Linked DNA regions of Oryzias latipes. The protein of the gene in region 1 interacts with the protein of each later gene in a pairwise test. Links are inferred from orthologs where the notes say so. Each region holds a gene or a part of one and is shown in the gene's direction. Other genes may lie near its edges. The genes, in order: exoc2 and ras-related protein Ral-B.

Evidence for each region.
Region 2: the proteins of exoc2 (region 1) and ras-related protein Ral-B interact in a two-hybrid assay, tested with the Homo sapiens proteins (2 studies listed by BioGRID). The link is inferred for Oryzias latipes from reciprocal best matches to the Homo sapiens genes EXOC2 and RALB.

The regions. Positions count from the first base shown.
Region 1 is NC_019862.2:21,224,618-21,228,437, forward strand, and holds part of exoc2 (exocyst complex component 2), read left to right. Parts: intron 1-1,088; coding exon 1,089-1,169; intron 1,170-1,328; coding exon 1,329-1,388; intron 1,389-2,300; coding exon 2,301-2,362; intron 2,363-2,439; coding exon 2,440-2,509; intron 2,510-3,820. UniProt on the Homo sapiens protein: Component of the exocyst complex involved in the docking of exocytic vesicles with fusion sites on the plasma membrane.
Region 2 is NC_019870.2:7,306,843-7,311,339, reverse strand, and holds the start of ras-related protein Ral-B, read left to right. Parts: upstream 1-1,620; 5' UTR 1,621-1,763; intron 1,764-2,901; exon of another isoform or gene 2,902-2,967; intron 2,968-3,378; exon of another isoform or gene 3,379-3,509; intron 3,510-4,497. UniProt on the Homo sapiens protein: Multifunctional GTPase involved in a variety of cellular processes including gene expression, cell migration, cell proliferation, oncogenic transformation and membrane trafficking.

The DNA.
Region 1 (3,820 bases):
TTATTATTCTTTGCATGAACTATTTTCATTTTTGATCTCTGTGATTAAAATTTTTTTAACATATTACTTTTTTAAAGATATTTTGCGCAAAAGTCAAATTCATTTAAACTTGTAAAAATTGTTTTTCTGTCTATGGATTTTATGGACCTTTAAAAATAAATTAATATTCAAACAAAGGTATCAATCTATTTTGGAAATGAAATGTTGTAAATCAGCTTTTTGTGCTTAAAGCATAAATAATCATCATAACTACTTTACATCCAATATAAATATTGTTTTTCTGTCACCCCCTCAAAAGTAAGTACTTTCATTCATATGAATGAACCTTTCTTATGTTAGTTTAATATTTCTTTCTTTATTTATTTTTTAGCAAATTTTTCTAGGCTAAGTTCTAAATGTTCTTTAATACGCACCATAATATTGCTTGGATTTTTTTTTTTTAAATGTTTAAAAGGCTTCAGTGTTGTCTTCTAAAACTATTTCCCCTGTGTGTTAAAATAACCAGCACACTTATCAAAGTTCACAAGTTCCTTCAATGATTAAAAAACAAAAAAAACGTTTTTGTAGCCAAAGAATCAAACAGCTGTAACAACATTAACTGGTACTCTTTTAGCAAAAACTGTGGTTATTCAATTTAGTGTGGAAAATCAGTTTGACGAGGACTGCAGCAGTTCTAGCTGTGAATTTATAGACTTTTATTTACATTGGGAACAACAAGAGCATCAAACATGGTGCAAAAGCATTCAGTGAATTATTTTTGCATCTCACATCCAAAATGGCTATTTTACTCATCCTTTTTACTCAATTACAATCCCTTTTACATTATCAGACAGAAAGGAAGGAGAGATATATTAAAACTTTGTAAATGAAACAATGAAGTAAGACGGATAAACACTAACAGCACTTTTAAATGTGCTTAAAAATAAGCTAATAAAAGGGTTATTATTATTAAGGATAGATCCAAAACAAAGAATTTTCTTGAAGTTCATACCAACTGTGTACAGTATTTTACTTCCATCCATCAGTTCCATCACCTCTTCTTCCAGTTTTTTTTAATCTTGAGTCTGTTTATACTCTCGTTTTTGCAGCCTTACCACTTTGAACAGTGCGTGGTCCAGATGTTGCAGTCCTTCAAAGAACCTCTGGAGACCAAACCAGGAGAAATCAATGTGAGATACTTACCCACAAATCCCTTTGGCTCAATAGATTCATTTCTAAAGGTTCTAGTGTATTTTTTTCTGTTGAGAAACCAAGCTAGAAAGGTAGTGCATAAAGCTTGAATTATTTGGTTCTGGGTTTGTTCCAGTGCTGTTGATATTCTTCCACAGGTGCTGCAGTTAGACCAGGTCCAGGACCAGGCAGCAGAGCTCATAGTGACCATCATGACGGTAATATGATATGCAGATGCCCACAGAGCCAACATTTAACTGGTTTTACTAAGGAAAAATGTTCAGACATGTCAGCATGATTTGAGTCCAGACATTTGCTGAGACATGTTAGTTTTTGTCAGATAACCTTATCTGTTATATTGCAACAATTTATGGAGTTACAGTATACACAAATAAATTTGTGACTCTGGCCCTAGGGCAATATGAAGCTTTAAAGTCCCACTCTGATCATCTTTTGTAAAAGTGTTCCCAGTGGTCTTTTAATTATTATTATGCCGTTTTAGCCAAAATATTCAAACCTGTGTTGTTTTCTAGGATATAGCTTCTGCAGAACAGCATCAGTTCATTAGAATTTCACGTCTGAGTTGTGGGCGGGACAGTCCCATCCCCCTTCCCCTCCCTGTTTCTGAGAGCTCTCTGTTTACACTCTCTCCCGCTAGCTTACAACCCCTCCCATCCCCAACCTAACATTACATTACCAGCATACCAAAAATGCTAAGCAATCTCAGAGCTGTCCAGCTATAAAGTTTTGAGCCAGCGTAGATTAGCAACCCTGCCCCCCTTCCCCTCCCGTTGCAGAGCAAAGCAGGAAACTTGTAGCCCCCCCCAGTGTATTTTCAACATCACAAACAAGTCTATTTCTAACGCCTCCTGCTTCACAATGACTTGAATAAAGAAATACTCAGAAATGTAATTTTAAGCTTAATTTTCATATTATTTGTCCTCCATCTTGAGAAAAATGAGAACCTGTTAAAATGACCAGAAACCCCATTTTCCATCGGAGTGGGTCTTTAAGCCAACTGACAGACACATGAGATCTTCAGCTACTATTAAATCTATTGACTGTTGCTGTAAAAACTGTGTTACGGTGTGTGTTTCTCTCAACACGCCTGACAAATGTGTTGAACTTAGGCTTTTATAAACTGTCTGGAGCAGCTGAGCATGAAAACGGATGGAGACATCCAAGTCTCTCAGTGAGTATCTTTTTAAAATGATCTTTGAGATGATTGTGCTTTAGGGAATGATTTTAAAGTTGTTGGTTTGTCTGCAGCAACATTTCTGTAGATCTGTCCTCTCCAGACCGCTTCGCAGCCGCCCACGAGGACTTCAGTCCAACTTCAGTAAGCAAAATGCCGTTTCTCTGACTTCCACTCAGCAGTTTGGGGTCCACAACTGACAGGGGCCAGAACAGCCTTTGACACATGTTGACGAACGCGGGCGGCACACTCGTCAGAACCACAAACCTTTATCTGTCTGTTTCCTGGTTGTGGACACGCAGCAGCTACGTCCTCATTTCCTGTAACTCGTTTTGAGAGGTTGGTGAAGGGGGTTAAGCGGTGGGGTGGAGGACGGGGTGGAGGAAGAGCAGGGTATGAAGTGCTTCTGGTAAAGGGAAATGGAGCAAGGTGCAGACGGGGCTTCCCCAGCCTGAATGTGTGCAGCGGGAGTCAGGCAGCCGAGCTCGACTACACAGCGCTGAAGACCGGTGTGAACTGAGGGGTCGGAGCGTTGCTCGATAGGGAGGTGCTAAACACGTAATCTCTCTTTTCTGTTTTCGTGTTCGCCTCAGCAGAGGATAAACAAGGTCTTTCTAGTAAAGTAGAGAATTTTTCAAAATAAAGCGTCAGCCCTGTATGAGTGTCTGTGGGTTTGTCCTTCATTAAAATGAGCTTTTGTGTTATTTTGTCAATTATCATTTTTTTATGTTGTGGTTGAAAGTATACAAGTATACAAGACAATAGGGAAGATTTGAAACTATGTGATGATATTGTACTGTTATGCAACCCGAATCTGAAATTGTGTTGATCTGAAAAAACACAAAACAGGCCTTGAAGCTGCAAATGCATTGGTCTCTGCTTCCGCTCCTCTGAAGAGCCAAAACTGCTGTGAAGCTCTCCACAAATGTGAGCAGGATGTAAACATACAGTGGTGGACAAGATTGTTGGTACCCCTCAGTTAAAGAAAGAAAGTCCACAATGCTCATTGAAATGACTTGAAACATTCAAAAGTAACAATAAATCCAGAGTGGACTTCATGGGAGGTGACCAAGGAGGACACCACTGTTGAAAGGAAATCATAAAAAAGCCAGACTGGAATTTGAAAAAATGCATGTTGACAAGCCACAAAGCTTCTGGGAAAATGTCCTTTGGACAGATGAGACCAAACTGGAGCTTTTTGGTAAGGCACATCAGCTCTATGTTGGTAGACTCAAAAATGAAGCATACAACGAAAAGAACACTGTCCCTACTGTGAAACATGGAGGAGGCTCAGTTCTGTTTTGGGGCTGCTTTGCTGCATCTGGCACAGGGTGTCTTGAAGTTGTGCAAGGTAAAATGAAATCTTAAGATTATCAAGGCATTCTGGATAGAAATGTGCTGCCTAGTGTCAGAAAGCTTGGTCTCAGTCGCAGGTCATGGGTCTTCCAACAGGAC
Region 2 (4,497 bases), on another chromosome or scaffold:
CAAGCGAGTGCAAACGCCGTCATGATGATGGGAAATGCGGCTCCCAGCACAGAACTGTCATTGTTGGTAAACGAAAGAGCCTCCAGCCAAAGAGGGGGAGTGATGCAGGTCAGTGTAAGTGTGCCTTCTGTGTGACATCCAACTGACTAAAGAAAAATAACTTTATTGTCATTGGACAACAACCTTTAGCAGCAACTCCCTTCTGCAAAAACACTGCAAGAACGTCAAACGGTTTCTGTGACTTTCAGGACAGAAAATGAGATCTGACCTTGACGTAACAAACCCAAATGGAACATGACGTTTAGAAGAAAATCCCCTCCTGGTGAAAATTCTCTCACATGATGTAGTTTGATTTACAGCCAGAGTTTACAAAAAGAGGTCATTTTGTGATGTTCTGGCACCACCTGGTGGAGAAGACGGTTATTGCACCTTCAAAATCATTGACCTGAACCACTTCACCAGACCCAAACAGCTTTGGTTGTTAAGTGTATTGTTTGACCTTATCAGTTGTGATTTACGTTAGTGCTGTCATACACAGCACTAACGTTTTGTTTTAAAGGATTAATTACTGATTACCTGTTTGTAATCTGACCTAATAACTGCTGAGGTATTTTTATTTACATTTGTGACATTGTGGTGCAGTAAAAGATCCAAATAGTTTAAAAAGTGACAGTGGACAGTAAACTACATTTGATTTACGAAAAACAAAAATAAAAAGGTATTTGCAAGTCCTTTTTTTTATTTATTTATTATTTTTGAGCACAATACAAAACAACACCAGAACATTTACATAAAATTCCCAAAATATGGTGGATACAAGAAAGCATAACGCAATTTGAGAGGAAGCAAAAAAGAAAATTCTTATCAGTATGCATACATAAACCTATCCATATTCATAATCATAGAGAAATTAGGGAAAAGTATAACATAAGAAAACAACAATTTCAGAGTTGGATAGTGTTACAAAATGCAGGGGAATACAACAGATAAATAAATTGTCTCAGATACTGGGAATATCACGCAAGGTGTCATAAACTGTTATGGCTTTAGGTGAATCGATTAACGTTATGGATTGTAAGTATAAATTGACCTCATTGGTAAAGAAAGTAAAGCTGGGATGACATTTCTGTAACCTATTTTTGTGTATAAAAAACTTGGCTAAGCATAACGCAGTGTTGATACATACATTATTTACATTGTTGTGTAGTGACAGGCCAAAGATTGTTACTTCTTTCGAAAAGAAGTCCATGATGAATGGGAATTTATTTTTTAACCATTTGCAAACATCCAACCAGAACACTTGTACAACACCACACAGGAAAAATGTGTGGTCGATGTCTTCAACAGCAGTTTGGCAGAAGGAACAGCTGTTGTCATCAATGTTGAAACGTAATCTAAGTAATTCTTTGGAGGGATAAATATCATTCATAATTTTGAAGTGTGTTTCTTTAACTTTTGGGGAAATATGAAGTTTCATGAAAGCGGTTCTTTATTTAGTAACATTTTGTTCAAATTTCTGCAGTATATTGTTTTTGTTCTGTCGTCCAGGAAAAAAACCTTTCAGGTATTTGCAAGTCCAGTTATTTTTCCTCCAACGGAAATCTGTCCTGACGTCACTTCCTGCCGTTCGGTCTGAATTGACTTCCGGAAGGCGGGGACTGCTGCTGGCAGCAGTTTTGTAGCTCCGATGCTTCTGTCAGTCACAGGGAAGCAGCCGGGAGGAGAGCATCTTCTGAAGGCTGAAAGTACAACGTGTTTTTTCGGTAAGACATGTTCAAACGGATTGGAAGAGGTGAAGCAGCTTTGTGTTTCTGGGTTTATGGACATGTAAAGAAAGAAGCGTCGCGTGATGTTAAAGGGGAGGGAAGGTGGCTGACAGAGAGATGACCGCCCCAGAGAGACAGACAGAGCCGTAACTACTCAGGTTTTTATGTGTTCATTGCTATTTGTTCTCATCTGTCTGTTGGTTTCAAATAAATTAGTTTAAAGTTCGGTTATCCATCAGTTTTGTGGTTTTGAGCGGACTGGCTCAGTCGTTCCCGTTAGTTCCCTGGCTGCGCGGCCGTTGCTAGGCAATAACGGGTTTAAGTCCGGGTCTACCGCTAGCTTTACTGCTGTCGTTCCGCTTCTGTCTGTTAATGTTTACGGGAGTTCTGGATAATATTCTCTGACCGAACAGCTTATGATATTCAGATGGGAGGACATGCCATCATGTTGCCGTTTGAATGTCAAAACTAAAACCTATTTCTGGTCAGATAACAAGCCAATACTAGTCTATAAAAAACACCGACCGGCAGGTGTTTTCTAGATCCACCACCTTTCATGCATTTGATTATTAGCAGACTTGAAAATCAGATGCAAATAAAAGTTGCTGAATCTATTTTCTGTGCGAATACATAAAAGTGAGCTGTATGTTTGCAGATGACAGTGTTGTGTGTCAGACTGAAGGACTCTGTTGGCAAAGCAAAACACACCTTTCCCAGTCTGAGGAACACTCCCATCAATAGGAATCCCTTAAAATGTATTTTAAATGTTCCAGCAGGGATATGAACTGCCAGTGTTCAATTGCACACGGACGCCCCCGTGCCCCCCTCCCCTTCGTCATAAACGACTCCTTCAGACAATGCTGATCCCAGCACATTCCCAGCAGAGTCAGGAAAACCAGGACCTTACTCAGCTTTTTTCCAGTCCCTTTGCAAAACCTTAAAGATACTTTGAACTGTTTTTGACACATGCCCATCACAGAAGACTATACTTTAGTGTAACTAACTTTTTTCAATTAGAAAAACAACTAATGCAAAACACTTTGCATGTAGATCATCTCAATTAGCAAGTAGTTTCAAAGGCTCATGTTGCATTTGGTCATATTTCTAATCATCTTGTTTTATTTCCAATCGTCAGATGTAACCAGATTGTAAAAAGATAAGAATCATTTTTTCTGGATCCACTCTGCAGTCCTCGCCACAGGTCAGCAATAATGTGTTTTATTGTGTTAATTTAACTTTTCAAAGCTTTTCGATTTTTATCGCCTTCATCTCTTTTGCTTGATTTTAAGCTTTTTGTATAAAACGTAATCATCTTTAATTTTTTTTTTTGAAGAAGCTCTAAATCATTGAAAAAAAAGTATTTAGTGTGTATTTGTGTTTCTAAAGAATCATCTGGCAAGAAGTTTTGTCGTGGATAAAGAAAACTTATTACACATAAGCAGAAAAATTATATAATCCAGTTTTTCAAATCTAATTTTAAATATTTTTACTGCAAGAATGAGAATGTTAAAAGTCGTTTTCAGGTCTTTACTTCTCAGACATCAGTTGGAAATATCTAGTCCAGCTGAGAAACGTTGAAACTTTGAGCCATAACATCTTCATCTTCCCACAGTTCCTCACTCCTTCTACCCTTTTACTGACATGTTCACACACCGGCTCTCTGAAGATGCTGTTTGGTGCTCCAGTCAAGGACAGCGTTGAAAACACTGATGTTTCTCACGCACTGATGGCAAAAACGGAAAGGTTAGCTTTCACGAAACAACCCGCTATCCTAGTATTTTATAAATAGACACCAGTGTTTAGCTGTAAACACAGAAGTTGACCTTCAGCCCTCTCAGGTCTTTCAGGCCCAAATAGAAAATGTTTCCTCTGGAGCGTTGTTCGCGTTTGCTGACTGGTTAACTGAAGGCATTGCAGGACCTAGGCTCTGTCCCAATTCCCACCCTAACCCCTAACTGCTAAAAAACTTTATAGTGCAGCAGAATCTAGTGCCGTGAATTTTAAAAGCAATTCGGACACCATGCTCACTACTTTTCTTTTTTTTTTAAACGGCGGATATGACGTCATCAAATTCACATTGTTAAAATTGTATTAATATGAGCAATTTATCAATCCACTGTTTTCTGAAGATAAAAATGGTTTATTAAAAAAATACATTTAACTACATTTTTGGGCGTAAATTGTTCCAACGCAATGGATTGTGGTCTATATTCGCCAATCTAGTGAGCATTGATGCACACTAGTTTTTCGCAGAGACTTCTGGGAAATTTTTAGGGCATTTTGGAATCGCATTCGGACAGCACCACAAAATGTCGACGGCACTATACAGGGCACTATGTAGGGAGTAGTGAAGGAATTCGGACACAACCCTGATAAAGAAGGAATGCAGCTTCTGTCCTGTCAGTTAGTGAACGGAGCGATTCTCCTAGCAGAAGTCAAAAGGTTTGTGTCCAACCCGATGCTGAAACGCGAGCGCCTCCCTGCTTGTTCTGGATCCTTGATTGCTGAGGCAGATGTGTTTGGACACCACGGTCCTGTTCGGCTTCAGAGGGAGAGCCAGCTGTCTGATGTGAACGCAGAAGCCATTTCTGCACACATTCTGAATCCTGACCCCCCCCCACACCAAACACATCTGATGCTGAAGTTGAGGGATTTGAACAAACGGGGTTTAGGTCTCATTGCCCAGTTTAGTCAAAGGCGTCTCTGTGTGCTGCTGCTGCCGGGGCTTGTT